Linked DNA regions of Coturnix japonica. The protein of the gene in region 1 purifies or fractionates together with the protein of each later gene. This does not show direct contact. Links are inferred from orthologs where the notes say so. Each region holds a gene or a part of one and is shown in the gene's direction. Other genes may lie near its edges.

Region 1 (5,040 bases):
AAAAGACACCTCAGGGGGAGATGCGGCACAAGGAGCCTTAGGACAAGTTAAGGCCAAAGTTGAAGTATGTAAAGATGAATCTGTAGGTAGGTATGGGGACAGGGACTTTTCTCTTGGCTGGAGCTGGGTTAGTGGCATTTGTTATGTTTTTCTGTTATTCCTGGCGTGACAGCTGAGTCATCCCCTGCCTGGGATCATTTGGTAAGTTGTCTTTCTGCGCTATTTTTTCTTATGCAGAGATCTGAAAAAATAGAACCAGCTTTAAACATGAGTTTTGATTGTAACGGGAAGGGAAACATAGACTAGGAACTCCTGCTGGAGTCATCTGGGAGTTGATGTGCAAACTTTACACACAGGAATGTGGGAAATTTGGGGTATTTCATCCAGTAAAGTTGAATATCAGTCTAAGAATCAGTTCTATCAATCTGAGCTGTTATTGCCGTGTATTCTTTGTGCGTCTTTTTGCATGAAGTATTTTTGCTGTATAGTCAGCTATAGTAACCTGCTTGCTTCTTAGATCTGGAAGATTTTAGACGCTACCTTGAGAAACGTTTTGACTTTGAACAAGTTACTGTAAAAAAATTCAGAACCTGGGCTGAGAGACGGCAGTTCAATCGTGAGATGAAGCGAAAGCAGGCGGAGTCTGAGCGGCCTATTCTGCCTGCCAACCAGAAACTCATTACCTTGTCTGTGCAAGATGCACCTACAAAGAAAGGTTAGTTCATGTACTGAGAGATTAAACTTATTTTATTAATTGACCATTTCCTCCTATGTGAAAGTTGTGGCTGAATTTCAAACAGTGATTGTTCATTAATTGCTTTAGTGGGTTTTTGCTTTGTTTCCAAAGCTTGTGTTTTTGAGGTATTCTGTACATACTTAATAGTTCACCCTTATGTTATAAAACCAGCTTCTTTCTATGCCTGTTAGTGAAAACTGGATATAAGCTGGTTAATAGAAATTGTAAAAGGTGGTACAGAAGGGTCCTTAGAAGGTGATCTGCTGGAGTCAGTTTTCTAAACTGTCAAGTGAGGAACCAGGTGTAAAAGTGAAGTGTTTTGTCAGTTGAAATTAATGATGAGCTCAAAGTGAGAGCTCTTGCTTCTGTTCTTGAAACACGTCGATGAGTGGGACACGATGTGCGTTAATTACTGCAGGCAGCCTTAAAACGCATCGCTTGTAATTTGAGCAGCAATTCTTCCTTGCATTTTGCCACTAAATACTTCGTTTTTCATAGCAGTTTTCTCTCTAAGACCAAAACTAGCTGCCATCTTCTCTTTTTTGTAGAATTTGTCATTAATCCCAATGGGAAATCTGAAGTTTGCATACTACATGAATATATGCAACGAGTCCTAAAGGTTCGCCCTGTTTACAATTTCTTTGAATGTGGTAAGTCTGTCCTGGTTTCAAATGGAGCACAGTTTTTAACATTGGCATATTGTATTTGCACTGTCGTAGTGAAGGAAAAAGCCTTTGGAATTAATGTTTGAATTCTGTCGGATCTTAAACAATCTCTTAAAATGGAGAAATTCTCTACTTGGAAGAATGAAGTGCATGTGGTGGGAAGTGTGTGTTAGTGGAGACCATTAGGACTTTGTGTGCTGGAGTAGTCAGTCTGTCTGAAGAGCACTCAATATCCACCTTACTTGAAGCTGCAATGAGGAAAGCAAATACTGATAATAGCGATGTTTGTTTTCTGTATGTGACTGTTATACATGGGGACTGCTGGAAAGGTTTCCTTTTCTCCTCTCCATTTTCAGAGAACCCAAGTGAGCCTTTTGGAGCCTCCGTGATTATTGATGGAGTAACTTACGGGGCAGGAACTGCCAGCAGCAAAAAGCTTGCCAAGAATAAAGCTGGTAATGTTTCTTCCCTTCTTAATTGTTCTGTTTTCCTTTCTGTTTTGAAGATGACTGTATTTGCAATAGTAAGTAGGAATAATTTTGTTCATCATTTACAAAACATGCACCATGTAGTCTTATTAAAAGTACTGCTGTAGAGAGCTCCCACCTGTACTGGGACAGAAAAGCAGGAGGAAGCTTGAAGTTGATTTCTGATCTGTGCTGATAAGCTGTAAAAAACCATCTGCTTCCAGTTATCTCACCAGTGTGTATGTGCTGAGCTTTTTCTAACTTTATACTTAGAATCATAGAACCCTTAGAGCTGGAAGGATGGGGACATTGCTTGATTTGACAATGCTTCTATAAGCATTTCAAGAAGCAGTTTCTTAGTGCAGTTTAATAGTTGTGAAGTGTTCTGCTACTGTTTTCAGTTGTCATTTAAAATAAAGCTAATTGCGACATTAAATCATTTTCTGCAGCTCGAGCTACACTGGAAATCCTTATTCCTGACTTTGTTAAGCAAACCTCTGAAGAGAAGCCCAAAGACAGTGAAGAACTTGAGGTACCGACCTCTTGCCCCATGGCTGTGGTTACTGCAGTCTCAGTTTTTAAATAATCATGTTTCCAGTGTGGAAAAAATTACTAAAAGTCCCCAGCCCCGTTTTCTCAGTTGGATGGCAATTTTAATGATTTTGATAAAGACTTTTTTTCACTTAAGAATACTTTTTGGTGCAGAGTAACAGTGTTTAATGTTACGCAGGAGAGATGACCGTTTAGAACAGTATTTGAGTTAGATTTGCACAAAAACTTTTATATCTCTCTTCAATTTCTTTGTAGTATTTTAACCATATCAGTATTGAGGACTCACGGGTATATGAACTGACCAGCAAAGCTGGGCTCTTGTCTCCATATCAGATTCTCCATGAGTGCCTTAAAAGGTAAGGCTGCAGCATGCGGGTTCTGTTTTGTGCACGTCTCAGTCAGGGCACAGGGTTTGCTGCATGCTGCTGCCCAGTGTTCCTCAGTAACTGAAGGACACTTGCAGGCTGCCTGAGCCTACTGCACTCGCTGCCTGTAAGAGGTGGCGTGGACTGAACTGGTTCATAGCGAGTCTTTCATTAACTAATATCTTGTGGGTTTGCTTTCTGAAGAAAATTCTCAGCTTAGGATATAATCGTGAGGCATAGAATTGTTTTTCCTTTATGTGGGGCCGTTCTCATTCAATTCAAGTCACTGATCTAAGAAATAACTCCCTATTAACCGATGTCCTAAAATTTATTATCGCTGCATCTGACTCTGCAGCAGTTACTGACAAAAACAACTGTTATTATTTGTTTATTTGCAATTGTACTTAGCATGTGATGTTGGTTTATTTATTCATTGTGCTCAAGAAACCACGGAATGGGTGACACATCCATAAAATTTGAAGTGATTCCTGGTAAAAATCAGAAGAGTGAATATGTCATGACTTGTGGCAAGCACACAGTGCGAGGCTGGTGTAAGTACAGCACTTAGTGTGACCTCTGATATCTTCCTTTTCTTCCTGTCCTCTGTTATCCATTTTGCAGGTGTTTGTTCAGTTACTTAACTTGTTTTATTCTTACTCTACTCTTTTCTGTTGTCTCAGCTTTGAATAGCACAAGTCAGCTTGGTGTCCAACTGTGCAAAGTACAGCTGTGACGTTTTCATGGTTATTTTTACAGGCAAAAATAAACGAGTGGGCAAACAACTGGCATCACAGAAAATCCTGCAGCTTCTGCATCCACACGTGAAGAACTGGGGCTCTCTTTTGCGTATGTATGGTAGAGAGAGTAGCAAGATGGTCAAACAGGTAAAGATGATTTCCTTTAATTGTGATCTACATTGTGACTGTATTTTTCTGTGTCTCGTTATTGGTTTTTAATGTGATAAGAAAAAAACCTGTGGTGGCATCCATCTCAGCATCATCTTTTTCTCTCCGTTGTGCGCAGGGCAGTGTGCGTTTGGTGAGCAAATCTCAGTTCTTCTGAACTGGTGATTCTCACACTTTGCTCTTGCCAGTGTGATGCTTTCATTGGCACTTCTGTTAATCTTGTATTTGCCAGACAGAAACCATCCCACCTATGTAATGTGAAACTAGCTCATGTGCATCTGTCTTATTACTTAAGGAAATGTTGCTGTCAGAGAGAACTTCTTGTGTGTGTGTATTTCTAAACCATAACAGCTCGTGTGTTGTTGCCTATGGTCTTGTTCAACAGGAGACCTCTGATAAAAGTGTGATTGAGCTCCAGCAGTATGCCAAAAAGAACAAGCCAAATCTGCACATCCTGAACAAGCTGCAGGAAGAAATGAAGAAACTGGCACAAGAAAGAGTGAGTATCTGCTGCTCCTGATGGACTTTGTTTCTCTTCTGTGGTACGTGGTTTACAAACAAGGCTCACTAATTGTAGTCTGTGCTTGTTTCCTGCAGTATCTCGTAGGAGGAGTTGTTCAGAACTTGTTTTTCAGTAGAACTGCTTTGAGAGGGATTTTTGTCCTCCCTTTTAAGTGGATTTATTACTTAATTTTGCTTTGGTCAATTGACATTTGATGTTAGAACCAATTAACCTTCAAAGAGACTGACACCGATTTGGCTGTGGTTGTGCAGTTATTTTCTCACTGTGATTTTCTCACTGTGATGTTCTTTCTGTGAGCACAAGGCGGGCTTCGTTCCAAGCTGTTTTGTGTTTGTTTTCCTAAGGAGGAAACACGGAAGAAGCCCAAGATGACGATTGTGGAATCTGCTCAGCCTGGCAGCGAACCGCTCTGCACTGTTGATGTCTAAAGGGAGGATTTCCGAGTAGGGAGCAATAACACAAACGGAGGAGCCAGATTTCCAACAACTATTTTGGATCTGCTTGCTGCAGAATGCAAGTTCACTCTTAAAGTCCAAGCTGCTTCAGTTATGCATTGTTCTTTGTGCATCATCAGGGCAATATTACTTTCCTTTTTTTTTTTTTCCTTTTTTTTTTTTCATACCTCTGAGATAACGATGTGCATGTCAAAGTCTGACCATTGAGATCTCTGCTTGGGGAAGATGCGCAGGACAGGCATGTTCACACAGGACACGGTCAAGCAAGCACTTTTTCCTTGAAAGTCATCCATGTTGTTTGAAATGGATGCGTTTTAAGGATGAAATTCAGAATATCTATGTACAGGTTAAAGCTGATCCTAAACACACATA
Region 2 (5,040 bases), on another chromosome or scaffold:
AAAATTGTGATTTTTTTTCTGATTTAGAACTTGTTCTAAAGTGTATTAAATAAGTTACTGTTGTAAAGTATTTGCATTAGCAGGTCATCTACACAGGAAAGAGAGAAGGAAGGTGATATATGCAAGTACGCGTTATTCACATAACTTAAGGCCAGAGGTGGTGTAAGATTGTTTAACTTGGCTTCCTTTTAACAGCAGGATTTTTGCTATTGAAGTGTTTCACACAGTTTATTATAGAATCTACAAAAGGTAATCTGCAAATATTCAAGGAATATGCAATAAAATACAATTGAGTAGAGAGAGCCCTCCCCTCGCCCACTGGCAGTGCTGTGTACAACTGGCTGTTGCTCAGCTTGCCATCACCAGAACCCCCTCTTCCATTTCACTGCTGGCAATATAGAGGCAGAAGGCCTCTCCTGCTGTTTTCCTGGGGTGGTGTGTAGAATCCTCATGCATCCAGAGCATAAAGCTGGTGTTGTCAGCAAGAGATCAGCTTATCTCCACAGCTGGAGAAACAAGCCTACTTCGTTCCTCTTTGATGTTACCTCATCAGGAGCAATATACAGTTCTTGTGTGCAAAGAAAGTAAAATGACCGTAAATTCAGCCATAGCTCACCGCTTCCTCAGAAGGAGAAAAAGCTGAATGTTGTTCATCTGAATGGCACAATTTAAACAGTGATAAGACAAATTCAACTACATTAGAATGAAGGACGGTATGGCAGTTGCAGGCCATTCAATATTTCAACTGGTGCTGCTTTTTCACTGTATCTTTAGTGCTCATTTCATGTATGGATGCAGACTTTGTTTGCGTGTCTCTCCATGTAGCCATTGCTATACGTTCTTATGTAACATGTTCTCAACTAATGCTGATCTGCATTCAGTGGATGAGCAACTATTTTTTGTCAAGTTTTTACCTTTATTTAATTCTTTGTTGAGTGTATAACTGTGCGACCAGACGCTCTCAGGGACAGATTTATTAATTTCGTCATGACTTTCCTCCTCATTCCAGTGTCTGAATGTTTACTAAGTATATTGTCATGGTGTGACTGTGAGAAGAGGAGGTGATATTTCTCAGTTTTACAAAACTGGGACACACAGAAGTGAAAATTAGAAATGCTCACTAAGTTTGCCCTCAGGTTGAGTATCACAGGGTGCTTTTAAAGAGTTCTTACTAAGAAGTACCGTCTTTTTGACTTCACAGCTAGTTGTGAATTATCGGTGTTAGTCTAAGTCAGAATCTGAGGTGTCTCATTCATCTCAGAAAATAAAGAACACAAGCTCACTGAGCTCATGAGAAAAACATGAAGATGGAGGCACTTGGCTGTTACCTTTGCCTGTTCACTGTGTTAAAGGGAGGTTGCAAAATGCTTCCTAATGTCATTTTCAGATGTCTCACTAACAAAGCCATTTTTTCCTTCTTCATTCTCCTGCTTTATTTACTGCAGTCCTTCACCTTCAACAAGATGCATGAGAAGGATTTATTTCAGCAATAGCAAGGCTACTGAACTGACTCCTGTTATTTCATGAATAGTGCATGGGTTTGTGTTTAAAAAAAATTTGACTGTGCTATGCTGCATGGTCTTAAGGGAAGACTTTAAGTATTTTCTGTCTTTTCAGGGGTAGAAAGCAACCTTAATACTCTCTCAGTGTATTTTACTTTTACACTCTCTGATGGTGCTTTTTTAGAACTTGAGCCTTGCACTCAGTTACAGCTCTTTTAGAGGACTGTTTTGTTGAGGTCACTGCCTGTTCTGTCTTCTGCCATTTAGTGTTTTCTTTTCTTCCCTGGTAAGTTCTGCCATTTTCTTTTCCAGATGGCCATTATTTAGTGCCATGGTTGCTCATTTGCACTTCTTGTCCCAGTACTTCAAGATCTGCATCTTGTTTCAGTCATTTGCAACTCATCCTGCTAGACTTCCTCTCATTTTCCTCCTTGTCTCATGTGCCGTGTGTTTTCTTCTTCTAATATACTTATGCAGGTTTAACTGATCATTATATCCCCTCTGGATTCCCAGATGCCTTTCAGATCTGGTATCTCTTTCATGTCTCACCATCAGTTTCTGGTTGAGTTCTTGTGGCTTTGAGATGAAGAAACTGATGGTCCCTCTGGTGTTATTGTACTTGTGATACTTGGTTCTTTCTTCCACGTTTAAGGCAACCTGCTTTCTTCCCCACACGTGTTAGGAGTCAGCAGGTGGTATGTAAAAATAGCAAGAAAAAAGGAGGAGTCCTCAAGAATTGTATGTTAGAACCTCCAGTGTCTCAGGAGAATATACAGATTGCTGGATTAATTAGATCGCAGTTTTGCAGTTTTACTTTGAATCATGTTTAGTGCAAATAGATCCTTCAGAGAACTTTGATTCAATGTTGAATTATCTGTGAAATGGGTAACAGGCTGCTGGGCTCTGAAATCTGCCAAGTTCTGATCATTCCTTTCCCAGTGGGGCAGATCTGAAAAGAAAAACAACAAAATATCAACAGCCAAACTTCAGGTACCTTAACCAGGAGTGGAAGGGATGGATTCATTTTCTCAATCAAACCATTTAAAGAATGTCTTTTATGTGCAGTTTGAGTTTTAACTTGTTTTGTCATGGAAATATGCTTCATTTTTACGTAGATGCTCTGCCACATATTTTAATAATAGGTATATGGAAGTTTATTAAAAAACGTGCTTAGTATGTGTGAGGATGTTTAGAAATCGAGGTAAGAAATTGAAATCCTGTTTATGTTGCTTTAATTTCTCCTAATGTTCAACAAAGTCACTTGCAGAAAACGAGTAGCATGTTCTGAATACTCTTCTGCCTTTTGTTTGTATTAGCAAAAACTCGTGCTGCTGACTTACTGGTGAATCCACTGGACCCACGAAATGCAGATAAAATTAGAGTTAAAATTGCTGACCTGGGAAATGCCTGCTGGGTGGTAAGTGTAACTACATCAATTCAACTCTCTAGTCTTCTCTGTGTAGAACAGCCCTTTTTATTGCTCATTTTTGCCATTAATGTGATTCTTTCTGTTTTAGCATAAACACTTCACAGAAGACATCCAGACCAGACAATATAGATCCATAGAGGTTTTAATAGGAGCGGGTTACAGTACACCTGCAGATATCTGGAGTACAGCATGTATGGTAAGAACTGTACAGTGTGTATTTTTCAAGAAAAGAATCCTAAAAATAGTTGTTTACTGAGGGAAGGAATCTGACGAGGATAATTCTGATATTTTGACAGAAATGTAACGCTATAGATTATATACCGTCAGACAGCAGCTGATTGTTGTTCCCTTTTACTTCAGTATTTTAATCGTCTTTAATCAACAGGAGGTATTTTGGAGAAATGTTCTGGTTTTCATTTCAGGCATTTAAAATCTGCAGTTAAAAATATGTAAGCTTGAAGGGAAAGATGTGTGTATTTTAAATGTCAAAATCCAATTGAAGTAGTATGACTGTATACTTTGTTCCTGTATTAGACTGTGCAATCCTGCGCTGTTTCCTTTTTCTTGCATAAAATAGTGAAAACCTGAAATACTTTAAATTTTGCCAACTTCAGTGAAAGCGTTTGTCAGAGTAGGTTTGCAGATCGCAGCTTTAGACTCTAATCTTGAAGGGAAGGAATTTATTCTATTAGCAAAGTATGTGGTAATGTTGTGTCGAATTTGTTTTAACACAGTAAAACTGATGTGTGTTTTAAAAGCTTTAAAGTGTAGGAAGGATGAAAGGCTAATTGTTGCACTTTCTGAAACACTGATTCTGTTTGCAGTCTCACTTCCAGGACAAGTAATCTACGTGCATTTTCTCATTAGAGTTGGAAACACGTTTAGAAGTACCTTTGTCTATTTAAAAAGTGAAAACTTATTCGAGTCATTATATTTTACAAATATGTATCTGAAAAGATTAAGTGTGTGATGAGGAGGAGAACACTTAAATACTAGACACAGTTTGCAGGCGTGGGTGATGAGAAGAATTGCAGAACTCGGAGAGGAGGAGGACTGAAAGGAACATAAAATCCTACAGATATTATAAGCTCAGCAAGCCATGTGTTGGAAGTAACTGACTATAAGTAAATCTGCAAGTATGTGTTCTCTGGAGTTCAACACTAGTTTTTCTTTTAGTTGATGGAAAAGAACATCCATTTCTAAATTTACTCTTCCATTTTGAGGCAAAATGTAGAATTTTTCTATTGGATTGAAAACAAAGCATAGAAAATTTTCTACAATTTTGAACCCGAATTCTTTATTTATTCTTCCCATAATTAGCTGTAAGAATACTATAGAAACTTTTCATTCCTTATATCTGATATTTTGCGAACTTCTGTTCTACTTGAAACCTTGTTACAGTACTGAATACTCTATATTACTGTATAGTCTTAAAGGTTGTACTGGTTCAGCCTACATCCTGCTAATTGGCACGTGGTGGGAGTTGCTTTATTGTTCCTTTTAAATAGAGAAAACCCCTTTTGAAGGGTGGGATCTGAGGCACAATGTATGAGTTCTTATATTGCAAGATCTTTTACCTGCATTTAAGTTATTTGTAGCAACTAGATGGGTTTTGAAAACACTGTATGGTATAAGGGGACATGAAGAATGTGCAAAGAAATACTGGGCTCATCCTGCCCCTTACACTTGCCATCATTTTCATGTCACATACGCTCTGTTGCTTTCTTCATGTAAATCCCTTTTAAAGCCCAAGAAAACAAACTCAAAACTTAAAGAATCCCTCCTGCTGATGGTGTCTTAATTCAGATTCATGATTACTTATGAAATTTAATTATTTTCATCTGAAAAAAAATATGTTTTATTAAAATTATTTATTTAAATATAGTAAAGCATGTGAGGCAGAAATAATAGAGTTCCCTTTTGTCTTCGGCCACAGACATGGTATTTTTGCCCTTAAAAACACTAGAAATACTGAAATCTTACAGCACTGACGTGCAGCGGTTGAATGCGGTTGTCTTCACTGTACAAATGCAGTCATGTAAAAGATAGAGATCGCCTCAAAAATTAGAGTTTGAAAACTCCTCAGGATCTGCTTTAATTCCTGTGTGA
Region 3 (4,201 bases), on another chromosome or scaffold:
GCCTGGTGCTCCCTGAGCTCAGGCACTGGGATCCACAAAACAGCAGAAGCACTGCATCTTCCCTGTCCTTATCACAGTCTGTGGTTGGTGCGGGACACAGGGGTGGCCTTTGCATTGTGGTGTGGAAGAGCAGTGATAGATGTGGTGTTTCTCTTCCAGGTTGGATCGCCAGACCCAGGCCACCACGCTGGTTCACCAGATCTTTGGTGGCTACCTGCGGTCCCGTGGTGAGTGCTGCTGCTGGGCTGCTGTTACCCCAACAGCTCTGCACTAAAAATCATTTGGGAAAATGGCCAAGCATGTGTAAATCACCCAAAGCTGTGCTTTGCCACTCCTGCCATGCCTGTGGGTCTTGGCTCCTGTTGTGGCAACACAGAAAGCTGTTGGCTGCGGGTCCTTGGCTCTTTGTCACTCATTGAAGGAACCAACGCTTGCAGCTGTTGAGCAACAATTGCTATGCCAGCAGCCTTCCTCCCTGCCAAGCTGCAAATGCCCAACAGAAATGTTGGTGCTGGCATCCCAGAGCCCAGACCCATAGAGGGGCAGCGCTGCAGCTGCTGAATGGCAGGTGCAGATGTAGCAGGGTGCACTCACTGCTCTTTCTTTTGCAGTGAAATGCTCCGTGTGTAAGAGTGTCTCAGATACCTACGACCCCTTCCTGGATGTGTCCTTGGAGATCAGGGTATGTCAGTGGGCACTGTGTTATGGTGTAGTGTGGACAGGTCACACATGCCCTGAGCTCTGCCCTGTCCTTGCAGCAAGCTGCAAACATCGTGCGGGCGCTGGAGCTGTTTGTGAAATCAGACATGCTGAGTGGGGAGAACGCCTACATGTGTGCCAGGTGAGGGGGGTCCCATGGTGTGGAGTAGCGGAAAGTAAGGTGGTACAGATGCAGCCCCAGCTGGGACGTGTGGCTGTGATAGAGCCGACCCCATTCCAGCTGTATGGCTGGGAGGGAAAGGCCTGGGCAGCAGCAGATGGTGGCCATGAGCTGATGCTTTCATTCAGTGCAATGGATTCCATGAGGTGTGTCCCAGCTGAGGGCAGTCACCTGGCTGTGGAGCAGCTTGGATAGCTGGAGCTCTTCTGTGTAGGTGCAAGAAGAAGGTACCAGCCAGCAAACGCTTCACCATCCACCGAGCCTCCAACGTCCTCACGCTCTCATTGAAGCGTTTTGCCAACTTCAGTGGAGGCAAAATCACAAAGGTGAGAATTGGGCAGTGCAGGGCTGGGGCTGTGCCACGGCTCATAGGGTTCCATTGCAGCATAAGGTCTGCTGCAGCCCGGTAGCCTTCCCCAGGCTGTGCTGCAGGGTCAGCACCTTCCTTGCTGCAGTCCTAGCCAGGGCTGAGCTGGGTGCCCTCTGGAGAGGGATCATAGGGTGGTTGGAGCTGCTTTTGCTCTAGTGGTAAAGACCCCTGAGCCATCCTCTCCCCGCAGGACGTGGGGTACCCTGAGTTCCTGAACATTCGCCCCTACATGTCTCAGAACAATGGTGATCCGGTCATGTATGGACTCTATGCAGTGCTGGTGCACTCGGGGTACAGCTGCCATGCAGGACACTACTATTGCTATGTGAAGGTGAGCCCTAGTAGCACCTTCTTGGGGTGCTGGTGCTGCTCTGGGCAGGGCCTGACCCCAAGCTCTGCTCCTAGGCCAGCAATGGGCAGTGGTACCAGATGAATGACTCCCTCGTGCACTGCAGCAACATCAAGGTGGTCCTCAATCAGCAGGCCTATGTGCTGTTCTACCTGAGGTGAGGTGCCCTGCGTTCCCTGCCCTTCAGCAGCTCCTGTGTATTCTGGCAGCATCAGTCTGGGTGGTTGGCACAAGGACATGGATGCTATGGGGTTTGCTGTCTCCAACCCTCCTGGCTGACATGTGTGCTTTGCTTTCCCCAGGATCCCTGGCCCTAGGAAGGGCTCAGAAGGGCCCATTGCCAAAGCCACCCCCAGCCATTCACCTGTTGTATCTGATCAGACCAAGAGAACCACAACCAACGGGCCCCTGCCAGCACCACTTCTGGGCCGGGTGAGGCTGAGGCGGGATGTGGGGGCTGTGCCCATGGTCCCCACAGCAGCCTGGGGCATGTGGGCAGCATGGTTCTGTCCCCAGGGCCTCCCATTGCTGACCCTCACTGTTTCTCCTTGCCTAGAGCCCTGAGGTGCTGCCGGGCAGGAAGCTGTCGGGGCCGGAGGAGATCGGGGTGCCGGTGTCCCGCAGCACGCTGGGTGTGGGGCCAAAGCTGCCCAATGGCTCTGCACCACCGAAGCCACCCAATGGATCCCCATCACCCAAACTGCCCCTCAGAGCCGCCCAGGTGACACCAAGTGATGACACAGCCCGAAGACCCAAGAAACCGCCATCCCCACAGCAGCCTCTGGCACCAAAAGCATCTTCGGGTCTGTGCAGCTCCAGCACCGCAGATCCACCCCAGCAGAGCCCTGGGGACAGCACGCAGTCCCCCACCTCGCCCAGCACCCCACAGCGCAGCTCCTGCAGCAGCGCAGCCCCCAGCCCCACACACACCGCAGCGGGGGATGCAGCCAAAGCAGCTCCAAAGGCCAAGAGCGGGGCGGGCGGCCTCAACTCCTCTCAGGACACAGACTGTGCCGTGGATCTCCCCGAGGGCTCTAGGCTAGCAAAGCTGAAATCCGCTGCGCTGGAGCCGGGCAGCACCACGTCACCACCCCCAGCCAAGAAGCTGGCACTGTCTGCCAAGAAGGTGAGCCCACGCTGCTGCTCTGTGTCAGCGGGTGCATGTGGGGAGGGGGCAGCGGGTGGTGCTCGTGGAGCTGGGCTGGGAGAACCCCCGTGCTGGGTGAGCTGTGGGGCCAAGCCCAGCTATTCTGGGTGGGTTTTTGCATCCCCACGGTGGGTGCTTTGGGGGGAGCCAGCAGTGGTGCTGCTGCAGCTGGAGAGCTGTGTGCTGCCCCTGCCGGCAGCCGTGCTGCGCCGTGTGCTTTCCATGCTTTAAATTTCCTTCCTTCCTTTTTTCCTTTGTGCTTCTAACTGAGAACACTTCTGATTCTTCTTCTACCCCCCCCCCCCCCCCCACTTCCCTCTTCCCCCTCTGTGTCTGTTCCCCTTTCCCCTTTCTCTGGGCTCCCCTCTTTTTATTTTCCTTCTCTCTGCTCACGGAACCCTTTCTGTTAGACCACCAAGTTTTTATTTATGTCGATAACTGCAGGGCAGCACCCCGCGGAGGGTGAGCGGAAGTGACGGCCGCCTGCAGCCTGCTGGCCTCGCCTCCCCCACGGCCACTGCCCAGCCCTGGCCCTGCGGCAGGCCCAGGTAAGCAGTGAGGGGTCCCCAGCCTCCTGCGTAGCGGCAGCCCTGGAGCTGGTATTGCTGGGATGCTGGCAGGACTCAGCCCAGGTTCTGCAGCCGTGGCTTTGACTGTTGGCACTGCGCAGGCTCTGGATGTGCATTAGCATCTCCTGGCAGCAGGAGGCTCTGGACAGGTCTGCCTGTTGTTCCAGGTCTCTGCTGTGCCTGTGCTGTAGCAGCACCCATGGGCAGTGTGTGCCCAGTGGCCAGGCAGCTCTTGGAGCAGGGTCTGGTTGTGCTTTCTTGGCTTGTGTTTGGGATGGAGCCAGATGTGGGCTGCGCTCCTGCACCCTGGGTACAGAGGGAAAGGGATGTTCCTGCTCTCAGTCCAGCTTTTGGCTTGTTTCAGCCTCTGTTCCTGTCCTGCAGGCTGCCCTCTGCTCTCCCCCTGCCCAGCCCTGACACACCAGCCTTCAGCTTCACCCCCAGCGCAGCCTCCCGGCTCCCAGCCTCCCCCCTAACCAATGGGACCCACTCCTCTCACCGCCATCCAACCCTCAGTGGGGAGCACGGACCCAGCCCTATGACCACCAAAAAGAAGCGGCGAAAGCAGCAGCAGTCAAAAGTGGGAGGCAGCTCGCACACTATGGCTGTGAATGGCTGTGATGAAGGCTGCAGCCCCCCAAGGAAGAGGAGGAACATCGCTCCAGAGGGCTCTATTCCAGGGAAGGAGGTGGCTGGCACAGGCAGGGAGGAGCGGAACCCCAGTGGTTCCCCCAGCATGGAGCCCATTTCTCCCATCAAGAAGAAGAAGAAGAAGAGAAGGCTGCAGGAAACCGAGGAGCGCTCCTCTGGGGCACAACCCTTGGGCAGGTGAGGCTCCAGGGGTGCTTGGGGTTGCCAACCCACTGAGCCTATTGTCTAGTCCTAA

Evidence for each region.
Region 2: the proteins of DGCR8 (region 1) and SRPK2 purify together in Homo sapiens (affinity purification with mass spectrometry; 3 studies listed by BioGRID and IntAct, with this or other methods). This does not show direct contact. The link is inferred for Coturnix japonica from reciprocal best matches to the Homo sapiens genes DGCR8 and SRPK2.
Region 3: the proteins of DGCR8 (region 1) and USP36 purify together in Homo sapiens (affinity purification with western blotting; 3 studies listed by BioGRID, with this or other methods). This does not show direct contact. The link is inferred for Coturnix japonica from reciprocal best matches to the Homo sapiens genes DGCR8 and USP36.

Annotation. Positions count from the first base shown.
Region 1 is NC_029530.1:1,009,730-1,014,769, forward strand, and holds part of DGCR8 (microprocessor complex subunit DGCR8), read left to right. Parts: coding exon 1-86; intron 87-517; coding exon 518-715; intron 716-1,284; coding exon 1,285-1,386; intron 1,387-1,757; coding exon 1,758-1,856; intron 1,857-2,317; coding exon 2,318-2,400; intron 2,401-2,675; coding exon 2,676-2,776; intron 2,777-3,229; coding exon 3,230-3,336; intron 3,337-3,541; coding exon 3,542-3,669; intron 3,670-4,075; coding exon 4,076-4,189; intron 4,190-4,557; coding exon 4,558-4,641; 3' UTR 4,642-5,040.
Region 2 is NC_029516.1:12,443,594-12,448,633, reverse strand, and holds part of SRPK2 (SRSF protein kinase 2), read left to right. Parts: intron 1-2,818; coding exon 2,819-2,919; intron 2,920-3,019; coding exon 3,020-3,127; intron 3,128-5,040. UniProt on the Homo sapiens protein: Serine/arginine-rich protein-specific kinase which specifically phosphorylates its substrates at serine residues located in regions rich in arginine/serine dipeptides, known as RS domains and is involved in the phosphorylation of SR splicing factors and the regulation of splicing.
Region 3 is NC_029533.1:4,605,870-4,610,070, reverse strand, and holds part of USP36 (ubiquitin carboxyl-terminal hydrolase 36), read left to right. Parts: intron 1-159; coding exon 160-227; intron 228-611; coding exon 612-682; intron 683-758; coding exon 759-841; intron 842-1,094; coding exon 1,095-1,206; intron 1,207-1,440; coding exon 1,441-1,581; intron 1,582-1,655; coding exon 1,656-1,756; intron 1,757-1,901; coding exon 1,902-2,031; intron 2,032-2,155; coding exon 2,156-2,725; intron 2,726-3,190; coding exon 3,191-3,294; intron 3,295-3,699; coding exon 3,700-4,143; intron 4,144-4,201. UniProt on the Homo sapiens protein: Deubiquitinase essential for the regulation of nucleolar structure and function. Required for cell and organism viability.